Daphnia pulex: one gene and its partners. The protein of the gene in region 1 purifies or fractionates together with the protein of each later gene. This does not show direct contact. Links are inferred from orthologs where the notes say so. Each region holds a gene or a part of one and is shown on either strand. Other genes may lie near its edges. The genes, in order: cell growth-regulating nucleolar protein-like, GTP-binding protein 4-like and nucleolar GTP-binding protein 2-like.

Region 1 (6,054 bases):
TACCAGTTTTTGCTGTCTTGGTCTATTGAAAATATTTCCCCTTTTTTTCCTTAACTAAATGTTATACATCTTCAGAGAGAAAAATAGTTTGTCTGGCCTGCAGCCTTCTAGACCTGTATCGATTGGGAAAAAGCGGCCCTTGGAAGAAGAAGATGACAATGAGATGATGGATCTAGGTGAATCCAATAAGCGGCCTTGTCCTTTAACAAACGCCAACCCATCAATGAGTGTTACCAATGGAAATTTGGACAAAATTCTAAATTTTCCTCTTCCGTCATCCGAATCTGTAGGCTGTATAGTTAAAATATACAGCGAAGATGAGGTGCCACTAAACGATGTTCTAGAAGTGGTAGGTGTCCTTTCCTTTAATACCCCAGGCGTCTCTGATGATGAAGAACGCGAAGATTTCCAGCCTCCTTCGTCGATTGTCCCACGAATTCACTGCATTGGTTCTCAAAAATGGCAACATAATAACCCATACATCATCTCATACAGCGGCCAGAAATGGAATGAAGGTTTGCAATCATTATGAAACTATTTTTTTTTCTTTAAATAAATCATTAATATTTTCCCAGAATCAGCGGCTGTGGTCGAGTTGTCCGCTACCATTCGAGATGAATTGCATGGTTTGTTTACTGAGTTCTTCTTGGGGGACAGTCTCGCTGCTGATTATTTGCTGTGTCATTTGATGTCACGCGTGTAAGTTGACCCTTGTTTTCTTAGATATTTATTATTCTGGCTCAGTATTGCAGCTACCGACTGACTATGCCGTTCATTTGCAATACTATAGCCTAGACTAAAACTTGTCTAATCAGGTGGAGGTCAAACGAAAGAATAATTTGCCTCTGTATGCTTGGACAAACAATCCAAAGATCTTACATTTATTCAACATACCATTACTAGACCGAAAGATTAATTTAGTTCTTGTAACAGGTACAACCGGAAAGATTCGTTAGCGCTTGGCAAATTGTCATTGAATTTAACAAACGTCCCCATAGACAATGCGGTTTTACAAGAAAGCTTTCCTCGTTTTTTGTTCAGTTTGTTAGAACGCTTAGTTACCAAAGCGCATTATTTGCCCATGTCTCTTGAAAATCTGAATACTCTGCGTATGATCCCTAAGAAAGATTACCAGGAAAATCGACTGATTGCCGGTTGTCTTCAACTGAGTTCACAAACGCACTTAGTTCTCGATGAGACAGCAATGACAGAAGGTAGTCCTAGTTTGAAAACAAATTATTATTAGCTTTCATTAATTCTCGGATTGCACTGTATTTTCTTCAGGTCAACTGATAGCAGATGGAGTGCGTAATGTAACTGCGATTGGAAACATATCTTCATGGCAGAAAATCGAATATGATTTCAATTATCATCAAGTGGAATTTCACACCGATATCCCCGTCCTGATACTATCCGAACGTCGCTCTATTGTTGCCACAGATGTAAACCTACCGCTAAGGTTGAACATGTCACGTGGCCGTCCGTTCGCTGAACTCATTGAGAAATTGGAAACTAATGCTGAACTGCTCATGCAAATGAGAAATTATCTCACCGTAACCAGACTTTTGCCTTTCAAACTTAATGACGCCATTCAGGAGGCGGTTCAACAAGATTTTATTCAGAGTCGTGCTCCAGGTCAAGCTAATCCTATGTCCACTGAAGATTTCCACTTGTTGCTTGTTTTGTCTCGGTTGTTGGCCCTTACGTACGGTAAAACGGAGCTGCTGGACGTGTCTCTTTGGCAAAGAGCGAAGGCAATGGAAGCGGAACGTAAATCTCGCTTATCAAATTCCAGTCGTTGATATGCTATTATGTTGTGTATTTTTGTGATTTCTCATTTGTCTTAAAGGATTAAAAAATGGATGGATTTTTCATATGAGTCTAAAGTAAATTGCGCAAAGGCTACAAAAGTTTTATAATAGAAGTTACAGATCCTAAATTTTATCCGGCAACTATGCTCACACTAGCTTAAAGCGTCTGCTGTCTAGTGTCTAGTTTAGTTTCAACTACCTCCTACACGTGTGCGATCATTAGACATTAGTACACGAAGTAATAGTTGACAGTTGGCACCCTACTCCAATATTGGAAATGGTTTTTTTCGTTTGCAATGGATGTGGTACATCTGTAAAAAAAAACCAAGTGGAAAAGCATCAATATCAGTGTAGAAGGTCTCAACATCTGTCATGTGTAGATTGTTCTAAAGATTTTATGTAAGTAAAAACCAAATACAGTTAACAATTAGTGTCACAATTTCATTTAAAATATTTGAATTGCTTCAAAATTCTAGAGGAGAAGAATATAAATCACATATCAAGTGTGTGTCAGAAGAAGAAAAGTATTCAGCCAAAGGTTTTGTTCCTAAACCAAATCAGAACAAAAATGAAAGAAAACAAACTGAATGGGTGGAAATGGTAGATTCTGACTGTTTTTTAGTAAATATTAAAATGTATTATAATTTATGATTTACTAGGTGCAAAATTTGGTTGAGACTGTCGGAAACACAAATGATGAACTGAGCAGTGCTCTTCAACGCATTAGCCAATATGAAAATATCCCAAGGAAAAAGCCCAAGTTTATTGTAAGCAAATGTTGAGTTTTAAACCAATTGCAAAATGTTTATAATGTTATTCCTTTTCAGAATTTTTTGAAAAATGTTTTGGGAAATAGAGTACATCCAAGAACAATTGGTATAAACAAAGAAAAATTATTCATTATTGTTCATGTCAAAACTAATTTAATTTATAAATATATTTAGAACAATTGTGGGATGTAATTTCCAAAGCCCTCGAGGAACTACGTTTAAGCAAAGTGGTACCACCGAATACCAATATCAAAGCGAAAGCATTGGAAGAAACGGGAAAGACCTCTACTGAAGAAAATGGAATCAAAAGGAAGAATGATATTGAAAATGAAATCCCTGCCAATGGAAACAAGAAAAGAAAGAAGGAAGCTGTGCAATCGCAAGAGGATGAAATTCGCAAACAAGCGAACGATACTATAAATTCCGTTGGGGAAGCCGAGCAATCTGCTAAAGTTAAATGGTGTACGATTGGCAAGATTATTCTGCGCGCCCAGGATGACAAGGAATTGTCGTTGAAGAAGTTTCAGAAAAAAATCATTGGAGAATATTTACAGCGAATGGCGGATGCACTAAGTGCTGATGAGTCTGTTGAGGTCTTGTGGTCTAAGTGTCAAAAGAAACTTTCAAAAAATCCAAAATTTAAGATTCACAAAGACAAAATAAAGCTTGTCTCATGATGCAGTTGTCTGTGATGACGAGATCGACTTACCAATTAAACGATCTATTTACTTGTTAGCCAATATCTTTTTTTTCGTGGTAAAGTCCTTATAACATTTAATCTTTCTTATTCTCTTATCTTGTCTAATACTTCGAGATCGATTAACCTCATTGGTTCCCCGAAACCGAAAAGGCCGAAACAAAAAAAAATCTCCTGTAGAAAAAAAAAGGCGGAATGCAAAAACTTATCATAATCTTGTTTTTCTTTCAGCCTCGTCAAATATTTCGAATTTCGAAAGGATGCTGAAATAAAAAAAAAAAGATAAAGGATTTTATACTTGCGTTGCGGTTTTTGGTTTTTGGCATACAGCAAGATAAACTTTCTGTATTGCAATGACTAGGGCAGCTAGGCCGTAGGCCCATTAATTCAACGATCGAAAATTGACGAATAGAAATTTATAAATTTAAGGATTTATCCTACTCTCTTCGTCTCATCACAGATAAAGACCACTTCTCTTTTCTTCTTTATTCCTTCTTTATCCTTCTTTATTCTTTACACCACTTGTCTTCTTTACCTATGGTCTCATCTCATGCTCATGACTGAATCAGTCGCAACCTCTGGTCGCACCGTATTTCTTTATAACTAATTAACTATATTGCATTTACATGAGTTATACCATAGCTCTGTCTCTGATCACTTGCACTGTTTTTTTAAATCATTATTTAATCACTTGGAATCACTTCAAATAAAAATAAAATGATAGGCCTAAATCATTAGTGGTTCGAATATGGCAACTTCGCATACTAGAAAATTCTGATGTAAAGTTGTCTGCTGTTCTTTGGCATTACCACGTGCATTTAACGTCAAGTTTGGTTCTTGTTCTTGGCTTAGTCTTGCAAGTTGTACCGGAGTCCAGAGGTAGGAGATAAAATATTATATTACAATGTGATGTTTCTTACGCTTTTATATTAACTAGTCTTTGAATATACACGTTCTATTGATTCAGAATTCTACATAGTTCATCATGGTTCGTCATGGAAAACACTCACACGCAAAACCTGACCAAAGCGCCGAAGAAAGAAAAGAAGTATGGGTTTCTATGGTTGAAAAATTAATCAAATCAGTTGGTGATTCTGATGAAGATTTGACAATCGCCCTCGAAAAAATTTCTCGAGCGAAAAAAGTTCCAAGGAGGTGGTTAAACTTAAACAAACCAAAGTTTGTGGTAAAAGAAAAGTGCTTTTTATAGTTTGGGAAATAAGTTCCTAACCAAAAGATTTTATGGGTTTTGATTTCTAGAGCTTTTTGAAGTATCTCCGATATAAAATTACTCCAAGTGTTGTTGACCAGCTGTGGGAATTGTTTTCCAAATCCATAGATGTGGAAAGGAAAAAAGAAATCAAGAGAAACACTAAACCAATTAAAACAGGAAATACAGATGGGAAAATTGATGAAAAAGAAGTTACGATTGAAGAAAAAATGGAAAATTGATACAACACAAAATTTCATAAGAAATGATTGAATAATGTCCGAACTCTGAAATGGAATTTTTTTATGATTTGGTATGACAATATCATGCTTGTCTCACGTCTCACGATGCTCTCGTCTGTACTGATGAGATCGGATTATCTAGTAAACGACCAATTTACTTGTATTTGTTTTTTGTTTATTACTCCAATAGATTTTTGCGATTATCCACCTGAATATCTTAGCAAACTCACGGGGTTTCTTGCTCAAAATAGTTGAATTTTACATACAGTTGATTGGCAATTCTAAAATGGGTGTCCCTAAACTATGGACTTGGACAGTCCATTTTGGACTACTAAACTATGGACTTCGATCGAAAACTATGGACTTCACCAGATGGCGCTGCCTGTCCGAAACTATGGACTTAGGGACCTAAAATATGGACTTTAACCTGCAGAAACTATGGACTCCATCAGATGGCGTTATATCCGAAACACTGGACTTGGCGTCTAAAGTATGGACTTTAAATGTATAAACTTGGCTTAGATCCGAATATTTTCGCTTAAGTTTTAAACGGTTCAATGAATATATCTTTTAATTAAATTTAAGCAAACCACAAATTCATTCTGAATGGTGTATTGCGAGTATTGATACACGATTTACAAGGTACATTTTGAACATTTCAAAAAAGGTTTTATTATTCTTGAATTGACATTTGAGAAAAGAAATAAAACAAAGTCATTTAACGTTTAAATGCAAGATGAGCAATACCAGAGCACTTTTTTGCACTTGATGGCAGATTCGGGTATGTTCTCGCATTCCGGATGGAAATTTTATTTGCAAATGTTGCACTGTACCATAACGTGAAATTTTTTAGGAAGGAGTTTATGAAATCCAAAGTCGGGCATCCGACACACACAGAAGAGGGGAATGGAAATTTGTTTCTTTGGTCTCCAATTTGAACGCGTTCGGAGTCCTTTGGTTGGAAAAGGAATGATTGCGCCGTCGGAAATGCATTTCATTAGATGGGAGCGCATTTGTGACCCATCAAACCTCAATTCAGATGGATTAAATGAAAATGCCAAGGCTGTCGCAAATGCGATGGCATATAGTCCGCAACTTCCGCTTTCTTTTTGGCTTTCGCATTACCCATTATACCCATTATTTTTATCCCTTTATTTTTTTAAGATATGGTAGTGGTTTTGTTAATAATGGAGCTATTGATCTTTTAGGTACACAGTATGAACACATTTCTCAAAAGAGGGAATTAATTTTAAATGTGCTGCAGAACCGCTTATGTCTCTAAAGACTGCTCTTGCCCTATACGTTGTTTTATATAAAAGCAAAA
Region 2 (5,980 bases), on another chromosome or scaffold:
ATCAAACCTTTACCCAGTTACGGCTGTTTGATTTGTGGTTTCAGGTGTTTCTCCAGTCAAATGAGCATCCTCCATTGGTATACCTAAAATTTGTTTGAAACCATTTTCTCCGATAATTAATTCCTGTTCAAAATAACAAAAAAAGGAAATATTGGCATCACGCATTCATCGCCTCCGCACCAACGTCTTCCGTCAAACCGAGTCCGGCTGATGATGACCCATCGGTGAAGAAGCGACCGGAACAAGTGTCGTCTAGTCCGACGTTGGATTCTCAGCGCACAGGATCGGCGGTGCCCCAAACACCAGCACGTAACCCACTGACGTTACTGGTTCAGTCTAGACAGCCGAGCCGATTGATTGCAACTTTCAAGGATAAAAACATCACAGCCGTGCCTCCCGGAAGTAAAAATTGGTCGGTGAGTATATAAGATAGCAACACAGTAAAACCAGTTTCCGGCCATTTGATGAAACTAGAAGCCAAATCTGTTCGTTCCGTCTGTCAAACGGCCTTGACTTGATAGCCAAAAAAAAAAATCTATTTGTCAATTAGATTAATGAGCTACGACTGACTAGAATAATTTTGATTTGTTTGAATTTAGTGCACTCAATGCGGCAAACAATTCCGGCGCTCCAGCACGCTGGCGACGCATCGCCTAATTCATTCCGGAGTCCGCCCCTTCAGCTGCCATTTCTGTTCCAAGAAATTCTATCAAAATTCTGATCTCAAAAAACACATCTTCGTTCACACAGGTTCTTACAAAAATTATTTTTCGCCCATCTTCCTTATTCATTTAATTCACCGCGATGACTTGACAAAAAATTGGTGTAATCTTTAATTATCCGACAGGTGAAAAGCCTTACCGATGCATACAATGCGGTAAAACCTTTAGCCAATCATCCAACTTGTTGACGCATCAACGAAGACACGCCGGAACTCATCCGGGCCGTCGACGCGTAGCCACTCAAGCGACTCAACCGCAAGTCTACAGTTAAAATTTCTTTAAAAGATTAAAAAAAGAAAGCTGCAACAACTTGAAAGAAAAAGTTCCGGCCTTTCACCCCAATTGTGAGACAAACAAACAACTAAATCAAAAACAAAACAAAAAATCCAAGCGTCAGAGACCCCATTCGACTTGTTTTGATGTTGTTGTTGTTGTTTACTTGGCCCTTATTTGGCGATATGTGCAAAAATGTAAGGGAAGGTTACGCAGGTCTCTCTCTCTCTCTCTTTTGTTTGCGTCACAGAGTGCGCGATTCTAACCCAAGGCAACAAGTTGTTTACAAAAGTTTCAATCTTTTTGGCTTGGTGCCCATTTTCAAATAAACAAGACCCCAGAGCGCGTCGGATCACCAAGTTTTTCCTTTTCGTTATTTAAAAAAAAACTTATGTAAAATACTCAATAAATTATTGAAATTCAAAACTTTTTATCGAGACTGACGCCAACACGGTGTACTATTTTTCTTTCATTGAAATATTTTCCACAGCGGTCGAATTAATAAACAAAACACGCTGAAAAGAAAAACACAACAATTAAAGAGTACACATGAACCGAGAGAGGGCTGGAAGTGGCACATTTAAAACAAAAAAGCACAGGACCTTTTTTTGAGAATTGATGAACTCAGCAGGCAATCAGGGACTTTTGATGTGATAAGACGTCATATTCAACCTTGGCCTCTCCAACAAACTCCAGGAGCCGGGGCATCAGTCTCGTTGGATTCCTCTTCTTCGTAATCGTTTCGGATGTTGTTTTTAATTCTTACAATTTCTCTGTCTTTTAACGGCGATCGGTTTTACCAATGCCGCGCTTGCCGGAGTAAAGATGTCTGGGCATCTTGACTGCAATGTGTCGATCGGCTTCACCAGCCTTACCGAATTGATTCATCTTGCCCTGAGCTTTGTGACCCATCTTCTTGGCCTTGGCCTTGAGCTCAACGTTGCGGATGCCCGACTGGTCGCGCGGAGTGACGCGAGACGACGAGCTGACGCGTCCGGCAGAATCGGCGCGGGCCTTCTTGATGGGCGGACGGCTGGCCGAGCGCGATTTAGTGCGAGAGAAGTGAGCGCCACTCTTGTTGCTCATGTCGACGCCGAGTTCCTCGAACTCGGAGCGCAGACGGCTGACGGAACGCTCGCGCTTGCGTCCAGCGCGAGGCATCACGGGGGCACCTCCGCTGCGACCGATGCGACCCTCGATGGCGATGATGGCCTTCTTCTCGCGAATCTTGCCAGCTAACCGGTGGATCTCCTTCTCTTCATCGTCCATCTCTTCTTCCTCCTTTTCGTAGACTCCGGATTCAACCCGCAGCTCTTCCTCGCGCTCCAGCTCCTCCAGCTTGGCCATGATGTCAGGGTCGATGTAGTCGGCGATGTTCTTGCCTTCCCAGAATTCAGGAATGACGTCGTATTTGAAGTCGGCCGGAAGGTCGTAATTCTTTTTCAAATCCAGCGAGTAATCATCTTCCAGCTCAACCTCGAGATCGCGTTCCGTCTTCTTCTTGATCTTGGGTCCCTTCTCCAGACGTTTTTCAATCACCTTCTCGGGCACGAAGGCCGGACGTGTGCATCCGTCGCGAGGTTTAGGCAGAGCCACGTGCAGTCGGTTGAGAATGCCTTCCACCTTCTTGCTCTTGATCTTCACCTCGATTCTGTGGGACAGCAAACGTTCGCAGGCTTCCGTTTTGACATTCATCACTCCTTCTTCGCTGAATGTCGACATTTCCATAACGGGGATGTCGTCATTAATGAAACCTTGAATCAAGGCCTTTTGTTCAGGATTCAGCTCCTCCAGACGGATGACATCTGTCTTGTTCAGCACCACGAGCAATGGCTTGTTGGCAAAGAGAGGCTTGATGCTCTCAAAGAGTGCCACTTGCTGTTCGATGGTGTGACCACATTGCTCTGAAATGTCCATGACGTAGAGGATAGCAGCTCTCAGATGGGCCAAGGCAGCAATGGCCTGCATTTCAATGGTGTTACGATCTTCAAGAGGGTGATCCAAAATTCCTGGGGTGTCCACCACCTGCCAACGCAGGTAGCGATGATCAGTATGCCCGACAAAGAGCGACTTGGTCGTGAAAGCGTAAGGCTGGACTTCAACATCTGCCCTAGTGATCTTGTTGATGAAGCTGGATTTGCCGACATTGGGGAATCCACAGATAAGCAGTGTCCGGGTATTTGGGTCAATGGAAGGCAGACGGGAGAGATGCTGCCTGACCTGCTCCAGATATTGAAGACTCTGCGCTTGCCTCTTCATGATGGTGGCCATGCGACCCAAGGCTGCCTTCTTGAGCTGCTTGCAGCGGTACAGGGAGTCACCGTACTTGAGAAGACGGACATAATCTTTGGAGACATTGTCAATCAAATGCAGGGCAATGTTGATCTGACCAAGAGCTAATTTGTAATGATCCTTGTCGTAGAGAACATTCATCAAATCAGCATAGAAGGGATGAATATCGTCCAGCTTGGGGAAATCGGTCAGAATGGTGGACAATTTGTCATGAAAGGTCTGCTGGGAAAACTTGACTTTGCGCATGTAGAATTGACGGATACGAGAAATCTTGTACTGCTTGTGGACTACAGTTGGCGTCTTTCGTTGAGTTTTCGACAAGACGATGTCGATAAAATCCTGTGAAGTTAGCGAAACGTTAGCTGGCCCATCCAACAAGTAATGAAATATCTGCGTTTAATTTACCTTCGCCGTCGGAACGATGACAATCTTTTTGAAATTGTATTGCGACGTCATTTTGTTGATGGTAAGAGTGTCGCACTATTGAAAATTACACGTTTTTCAGAGAAATTCTCTGAAATATTCAGCAATGGCGCAGCCCACTGCTCACACGTGCAACGAAAAGAAAGAAGACACAAGAAAATCGGACATCTAGTGGTAGACTTTTATTCTCTTACTCTTTGCATCACTAGCGGCATCTATCAACATAATCTGCATAGAATTTGAATCGAGTTTTTTAAATTTTTTACTATTCTTTTGCATCAAACTTACTATTCATGTATTCAAAGATTAAGAAAAACAAAAATAAGGATAAATGTATTTACCGTTTACTTCATTTCAGCTCGAATATTTAGAAACGAAAGAAAAAGCTTTTATGCGGGAAACAAAATATACCACGATGGGGCTCAACCACGATATTTAAGTGCATGTGAATCCCCGCTCCTTATCGTGCTTGTATATAATACAAAACAAATATTTGCACAACAGAATTTACAGCCAGGATCCAAAATTTAAAATGTCAGTTTTAATCAGCGGGTGAGTTTTTCAAATAAGATAATGTAATGTAAACTCGATGTAGTGTTTATACAAGGTATAAGAAACCGAGTCCTATAAAATACGACGCAATCGTGCAACGCAATAGCTCAGTCTAAAAATTTGTGTAAAAAATGTCTCGTTTCTCAGTCGGTGTCAGTTTGATATTCATTTTAGGTTGCGGCGCGATTTGTTCTTCCGCTTCTGCCACCTATTCCTTAGAAGACAAATTGAAAGAATTAGAATCGAGACTCGAAACGAAAATCGATTTATTAGAGTCTAAAAATAGAGAACTTGAAGAAAAGGTGACGCAACTGGGGACCCAATTAGAACGAAATGTAAGTTTCTAAACAGATTCATCTTGTTATTTTCCTCCAATAGATTAAATACAATTTGATTTACACTAGAATGAAAGTAGAGACGAATTGGCTCTACAAGTTATCGAATTGAAAACTAAAGTTCAAGAACAAGACAAAGTTTTATCCGTCCTATTGAGAGAAAAGAAGGCAGATTCAGATGTTTCGATCAACATTAATAATCAATCACCCGTGGCTGTCAATGGATTGCCATCTTCGTGTGCAGATCTCAAAAGCATGGGCCACATCTGGAACGGATTTTATTCCGTTATGGGAAATACAACGATGGAATCCGTTTACTGCGATTTCACTAAACCCCCAAGCGATGCGGGTAATTTTGATTATTCTGCGTACTGTATGTTTTGTTGTAATCATCAATATTTTTTTAATATTTTTTATTATGATTTACTTTATTTGGAAAAGGTTTCCAAAAATGGATCGGATACAACGGCGTCAAATCAGCACCCGTCTATTTCCACGCTACGAGATCTTATAGTTTTAACACAATTGGACTCCCAATTAACTACACTTACATACCGTTGAACGTAGGAAATGCTATGGATGGGGCATCAGGAATATTCACGGCCCCACGATCGGGAGTTTATTTCTTCGCCTTCACGGGACAGGTGGAGTTTCCAGCTTCATCCTCGCCTGATCGTGTAGTGTTACAAGTTATGCTTCAAAGTACACAGAGTGAAGTCGGGAGGATTGCAGTTACAGAAACCAACACCAACGCTTATCATAGGAGTTTACTAACTCTTCAGGCGACGGTGAACTTGAAATCAGGTGAACAAGTCTTGTTAAGGATTATCAACATTGATCCAGGAACTAATTTGAATGGCGACGGTTATCTCTGCACCTTTTTCACCGGTTTCCTGTTGGAGGAGGAAATTGCCGCGTCTGTTTAAATTCGCGCGTTTTTAAATTCATTTTAACGTCAGCAAATCAATTGCCGAATATGAATTTACGAATAAGAATGCTTACTTTGCATCCAGATTTTTGTTTCAAGTCCGTATTAAATTGATTATTTGTTTACCAACTGCAAAATAATAGGCGCAACCTAATTACAGATTTTCCCTACCCCATACGCATGCTTCTTATTACGTAATCCCATATGAATTGAGCCACAGACTTATTTCCATGACGTTTTCCTGGTGACATTCTTAACTGTTTTATTTTTTATTTCAGGCAATTTTGGGTAAATACAACAGTATGTGGTCAGATAAAAATGGGAAATAATTTAAAGGGATGATTAACAAACTTCCTGAAGTAGCCACATTCAATTGTTAGTAGTTTATAATTTGATTTGGTAATATCTCAGAGAAAATCCAATATTTCCAACATTGGCTGCATCCCGCGTGTCGG
Region 3 (5,810 bases), on another chromosome or scaffold:
TGAATTAATCAGTTTACAACAAATTTTCTGTCATTCTTTTTTCCTTTTCCTGTCAATACATTTGCTGTGTTACTTCAGTTTACGAAAAATCCCCGTCATCCTTAATAGGAGATTATAAATTTTCATTCTCAATGTTATCTATACTGCAAAAAAAAAATCGAGGCATTTTTGTGTTATCAGGCAGCCAGCAATATTTAGGCTTACGTACATGTCTAGAATGAGACGTAGGTGGGTTATTTATTCCTGTTTTATAGAAAGAAAAAATCATTTCACTTATACCATCAGCCATCAGCACACAAAGAGGATATTCATGTTGAGTAATAGCCTCGAGAAGAAGAAGATATGGGTTGCATATACGTAACAGAATCTCCCGAGATGAAAACAGAATCCAACTTTGACGATACAATGGTCGTAAAATACTGCCCCGAGTGAGGTTCGAACTCACGACCTCGAGATTATGAGACTCGCGCGCTGCCTACTGCGCTATCGAGGCTTATACAACATCTATCCAGAAAACTCAAAATGCTATTTGTTTTGTGGTCTGGTTCAGGAAATTAGCCTTCCAACGAACTTAGTATAATAGTTTCTCCTTTTAAAATTTGATCAAAGAAAGCCTCGTTTAAACCACACCTGCTAATAAAACAAGTTTTTAAAAAAAGAAACGCATAACACGATAATTTCAACTTGGAAAAATAAGTTTACGAATAAATACCCATCTATTTTCATCGTTTTATTTCAGACCCCACTTACATAAAAGATGTTCAAAATAACTGAATCAATCGGCGAGAAAGAGAAGAATCGAGAATGTGTGTATCGGCCCGTGGTGGCAATTAGAATCAATCAATCGTTATAATCAGCTCATAAAGAAGATTAGACAATCACAAAAGCAACTCCCACACTACTTCTTACAGTGACCCCTAAAGGCCTTGGCCATCTCCAAGAAACCCTTCTTCTTCGACTTGTTTTTGACGTTGACCACTTCGTAAAAGTGAGTGCCGATCTTCTTCTTTTTCTGATCGCGATCGATCTTTCTCCTCTCTCTCGAAGTCAGCTTCCAGCGCGGGTTTTCCGGTCGGTCGTCCTCGTCACCGCCGCCTCCTTTCTTGGTCGATCGCGACGTGGGCGTCACGGAAAAGGCCCCGCTCTTGGTGATGGTTCTCGCTTTGAGTTTCAGGGTCTTGGCTTGTTTCTTCTTGGCCGCCGCATCCACGTCGCTATCTTCCTCTTCTTCTTCGTCCATCTCATCCTCGTAATCGTCTTCCTCGTCGTCGAGACCTTCGTGGTCTTCCCCTTTGGACACATCAGCCGATTTCGACTCTTCCGTCGCTTTGTCGGTGGCCACATTCTCCTCTGCGTCTTCATCGTCTTCCGCTTCGTCGGCCGAAGGGTCGTCCATGAAGTCCGGCTGGGCCTCCAAAGGCTGGACGTCGTCACCTTCGTATTTCAGATCCACCCGAATTTTACTGAAATCCTGGGCCAATCTGGGCTCGAATTTCTTCTTGTCCTTTTCAGTCTCCTCTCCCGACTCTTCAACAGCGGCGGCTGTGGCATCTCCTTCGGTTTTCTCCTCCACTTTGGCCGCATCCGGATTGACAGGGGCGACGAAGAAAGGCAATTTGCCTCGCTGCCAATCGTTCAAGACCATTCGGGCCACGGCGTTGTTGTCCGGTTCTCCACCCTTTAGCAGCCTGCCCGTTCGGCGGGCCATCTGGTCGAGAAAGTCGGTGGCATCTTTCCAGTCGTTCAACCTGTAGACGCGGCTCAAATACTCTTTCTTCACCCGTTCCAGCACAGCTGGAATAAAGTCTTCGGGCGTTTTCAGCTTTTCCACTTGAACGACACCCTGAAAGAATAGAGCAATCGTATTAGAATTTGCAATCAGGTAAATCAAATTGCGATCGGTTTACCTTCAACACTTTTTCCTCGTCCGTCTCTCCGGTGGGAAATACAACTCCCGGGCAGTCGATGAGGAAGATTCGACGCATCAGCGTGATGTACTGCCAGACTTTGGTCTCACCGGCGATGGGCGCCACCTTGCAGACTTTCTTGCTGCGCAGGGTATTGATGACGGACGATTTTCCAACATTCGGGTAGCCGATGAAACCCACGCTGATTTGTTTCTTGTCGCTGTGAAGCTTGCCGAACTGGCGCAGCAAATTGATCAACGAACCTTTACCAAAGGGATGGGTCATCGAAGAACGGAAGGCCATGGTGGGGTACTCGGAGCTGAGCGTCTTGACCCAACGTTGGGTAATCCAAGTTGGTACCAAATCCACCTAGAAAGAAGCATGGAATGAGGCCAGGGGTCTAAATTATCTTGGGAATGACTTTGCTTACCTTGTTGAGCACGAAAAACAATTGCTTGTGGCTTTTTTCTTTACGGATATAAGCTTCGACTTGCTTGCATCGAGTTCCCAAAGGATCACGGGCGTCCAAAACCTTTTCAAATTAAACATTTAGTACAATTGAACTCAAATAAATGATTTGGTATAATTCAATACCTGGATAATGACGTCCGAGCAGTCAATCACTTTGTACAATTCTCCCCAGATTCGTTTGCTGAGGCCAGCCTTCATGATCCACTCTCGAGTCAGTTCGCGATCGTCTGGCAGATCACGAACCAAAGCTCCGTCCTTTTCGATTTCGTAACCGTCACCGAATTTTTGGGCTGAGGATACGTAGCTGTCCAAGTCACCGGTGGCAAGGCTCGGCCGCTTTCGCTGTTTCTTGGGGCCAAAAGTGTTTTCAAAGCTTTCAGTTTCCAGCAAGTGAACTCTTGCGAATTTAGAGGATTCCTTCAGCAGAGTGATGGGCAGCTTTGTCTGACGCATTACTACTTGATAGGGATCCTTGATGGCCTGTCCAAGTTCTTCTTGGAATTTCTGGAGTGCTGATTGGCCAACCTAAATATAGTCACGTAGATTAAGATATTTGATCACTATCAAAGAAATGGTGAAGTAGTAATTACGATCACATACCACTCTGACATTTCCAAACCAGCGCCGGTTAGGTTCCACACGTGCAACAGTACCAGATGCAAATTTGGATTGAAAAGGTGCTGGGCGGATGACTTTGCCTGATTCATCACGCTTGGCCTTAAAGTTACGGTACATCTGCAATCGTTTGATTGTGGCCTTATCTCTTGCCTTGCTCACTCCCCTCAGACCAGAAATTTTTCGATCTGGGTTCATACTGCATCAGAAGATTTTATTAGCAAACATTTAGTATATTAGTGACAAATAACAAACCTGTGTCCGGATCGGTTAAATCCATCTTTTCGTCCGGCCTTTTTGACCGGATCGGTCTTACGGACAGTCCTAGCCATTTTGAGGAAGTACGATGCTTAAACCTGTTTTTAACATTTGAAAACATTGCTATTCAAAACACGAAAATACTGAAAATAAATATACGACCTACCACTCAGAATCAGTAGCTTCAATATCTGTAACGTAAACAGATCAAATGCAAACTACTTTTATAAAAAAACAAAATTTGTCATAAACTTTAAAGCGTACAACTTTTCGTACTTCTTTTCACACGTGTTGTCGTGAAAAGTCTCTCAAGAAAACGTCTGCTATTTGAGCTGACATCTAGGAACAAATTCCAAAGTTAAAACGTGCTGCCATCTAGCGGTAAAAAATTCACATAGTAAAAAAAAAAAATTATCATTCCATGTCGCCTATCGACGTAAAATGCCCAGTGGCAGAATGACTAAAGAAAAAACCTGTTTGACTAGCTCAGCCTATCCCTTTGGTAACAGCTTATTACTTATCGGAACACAAATCACATCCTCTTCTTTTTTTTTTAACTCTGCGTGTCATTGACCGACCAACCAACACACAAAAAAAACCACTTTGAATCCTCTCCATCCCTATAAGGATTATATAGGCGGGTTCGATAATATTTTTCTCCTTCTTTCTTTAAAAAAAAATCAACCAATATAGTATACATGCACTTGTATACGAACACACACAGTTATAAAAGAAATTTAAAAATTTCCGAGTCGTGAAGTTACATGAAATGTGTATACAACATCATTTACGAGGAACCGTGCGTACAAGACACAAGAAATATTTAAAAAAAAACACACACACACAAACTTGTCTTTTTTGAAAATTTTTCTATCTTTCATATTTCTTTTTTTCTTTTCTTTTTGTTGTCTGCTTTTCGATATGATGTGCTAAAAATGTAAATGAAGTTCTCTCGCCCGTCGGCGGCTTCTTTCTCTGCCAGGAGAATACATGTAGTATAAAAGACATGGTAATAATTTCATGCGACATCTCAATGACATTTCGGCAATTTTTCCCACCAAACAAAAAAAAAATTCAAAAATTTCCGCATTGGATTTAAAAAACAAACAAAAGTCGATAGCAAAAAATCGCGCAGAAATATTTTAAAAAAGAAAAAATTCCCATTCTGTTCTACATCTAAACAAATGAAAGAGAGAACAACGCATATGTACACTGGGTTCAAATTTTGTGATTTTCCCTGGCCAATTTAATTAATTTTTAAAATGGCGGAAATGTCTAGATTGCGCATTTTATTCGTTCATTTCAAGCCCTGGCCAGCTGCTGATCGCCATCTTCTTTGTGGTTGGCATTGTTGGTCGTCGTGTTGGTGGTGGATCGGATGACTTTGACCTTTTCGGCGTGAGCCGTGTAATGGAGCATGTCGGTGAGGAAAGTGCGGCCGGAAGAGCGCGACGTTTGAGTCTGCGAGGTCAGCCGGGCCGAGCGCGAAGATCCGCAGAGGAGCTGGCGGTAGGCCGATCGGTACTGCCGGTTGGAAAACGCGTAGATGAACGGGTTGATGACACTGGACGCCCAGGCCAGGATGGAGGCCATCACGTGAATGACTGGCACTTTTGTCTTTTTCTATGGAATTAAGAAATTAAAAATCAAATCAAATCATCCCAATCACAATGATAATTTTTGTTCACACGAACCTCGTCGTCGGCCACGTTGACCACCATGAGCGGCAGGAAGCAGAGGAGGAAGCAGCAAAAGATGATAAGCATCATACGGGTGAGTCGCAGGTCATCCCGTCTCTGGTGCTTCTCCGACGTGCTCTTCTTGCCCGGCTTTTTATTCACCGATTTCATCACCGGAACATTGGCCTGATGCTCTTCCGCTCTGTTGTTGCCACCACTCGTTCCGGGGCTGAAATTCAAATGAAACCCATTTTTTTTTAATTTCCCGCCAAAATTTAAATGGGCAATTTATTGATTTACCTGTGGGCCATGACGTTGCGTCTGGACTGTTTGACTTTGACGAAGATGCACGTGTAGGAGACGATGATGGTCAGACAGGGGATGAGAAAGCCGAAAGCGAAAAAGAACTTTTTCGGCGACTTGCCATTCTCCCCCGGCAGGATGGTGCAGGAGAAAGTGGCGGGATTGAGGCCCAGGTCGCCCCAGATGCCCAGCAGCGGTGGCGTCATCATCAGGAAGCTGAAGAGCCACGAGCCGAGGATCATCAAGACGATCAGCGGGCGCCGGTAGATCTTGTCGTACCAAGACGGCGAAGCTATCAGAATATACCTGGGAATTTTGCAAATTAAATCAAAATTAAATCCCCTGGGATCAGAAATAGACCAGCCGGCTGCTGCTGGACAGACAGTACAATGAGATGCCTATACCGATTGATGGTGATGAGGACCATGCTGAAGAGAGAGGCTGCCACATTTCCGTAGAAGAAGAAGGGAAATAGACGACAGAGCGTGTCGCCCAGGATCCACGACTCGTAGATGTAGCGCGAGGCCGTCAGCGGCAGGTTGAAGGCGCAGAAGAGGAGGTCGGAGCCGGCCAGACT

The links.
Region 2: the proteins of cell growth-regulating nucleolar protein-like (region 1) and GTP-binding protein 4-like purify together in Homo sapiens (co-immunoprecipitation; 3 studies listed by BioGRID and IntAct, with this or other methods). This does not show direct contact. The link is inferred for Daphnia pulex from reciprocal best matches to the Homo sapiens genes LYAR and GTPBP4.
Region 3: the proteins of cell growth-regulating nucleolar protein-like (region 1) and nucleolar GTP-binding protein 2-like purify together in Homo sapiens (affinity purification with mass spectrometry; 3 studies listed by BioGRID and IntAct, with this or other methods). This does not show direct contact. The link is inferred for Daphnia pulex from reciprocal best matches to the Homo sapiens genes LYAR and GNL2.

Annotation. Positions count from the first base shown.
Region 1 is NC_060020.1:1,868,844-1,874,897, reverse strand, and holds cell growth-regulating nucleolar protein-like, read left to right. Parts: upstream 1-1,991; 5' UTR 1,992-2,088; coding exon 2,089-2,210; intron 2,211-2,287; coding exon 2,288-2,411; intron 2,412-2,470; coding exon 2,471-2,578; intron 2,579-2,638; coding exon 2,639-2,687; intron 2,688-2,755; coding exon 2,756-3,258; 3' UTR 3,259-4,157; intron 4,158-4,215; 3' UTR 4,216-4,464; intron 4,465-4,538; 3' UTR 4,539-4,893; downstream 4,894-6,054. Other genes in the region: mini-chromosome maintenance complex-binding protein-like, read left to right, coding at 68-515, 576-699, 934-1,214, 1,285-1,802. UniProt on the Homo sapiens protein: Plays a role in the maintenance of the appropriate processing of 47S/45S pre-rRNA to 32S/30S pre-rRNAs and their subsequent processing to produce 18S and 28S rRNAs. Also acts at the level of transcription regulation.
Region 2 is NC_060026.1:14,944,763-14,950,742, forward strand, and holds GTP-binding protein 4-like, read right to left. Parts: upstream 3,886-5,980; 5' UTR 3,744-3,885; coding exon 3,693-3,743; intron 3,627-3,692; coding exon 1,776-3,626; 3' UTR 1,423-1,775; downstream 1-1,422. Other genes in the region: zinc finger protein 271-like, read left to right, coding at 1-77, 146-416, 600-750, 848-993; uncharacterized protein LOC124204378, read left to right, coding at 4,394-4,597, 4,667-4,946, 5,039-5,523; uncharacterized protein LOC124204377, read right to left, coding at 5,910-5,980. UniProt on the Homo sapiens protein: Involved in the biogenesis of the 60S ribosomal subunit. Acts as a TP53 repressor, preventing TP53 stabilization and cell cycle arrest.
Region 3 is NC_060028.1:1,710,983-1,716,792, forward strand, and holds nucleolar GTP-binding protein 2-like, read right to left. Parts: upstream 3,569-5,810; 5' UTR 3,418-3,568; intron 3,350-3,417; 5' UTR 3,326-3,349; coding exon 3,249-3,325; intron 3,193-3,248; coding exon 2,979-3,192; intron 2,904-2,978; coding exon 2,502-2,903; intron 2,440-2,501; coding exon 2,338-2,439; intron 2,277-2,337; coding exon 1,908-2,276; intron 1,844-1,907; coding exon 899-1,843; 3' UTR 719-898; downstream 1-718. Other genes in the region: protein trapped in endoderm-1-like, read right to left, coding at 4,554-4,874, 4,946-5,159, 5,231-5,539, 5,638-5,810. UniProt on the Homo sapiens protein: GTPase that associates with pre-60S ribosomal subunits in the nucleolus and is required for their nuclear export and maturation.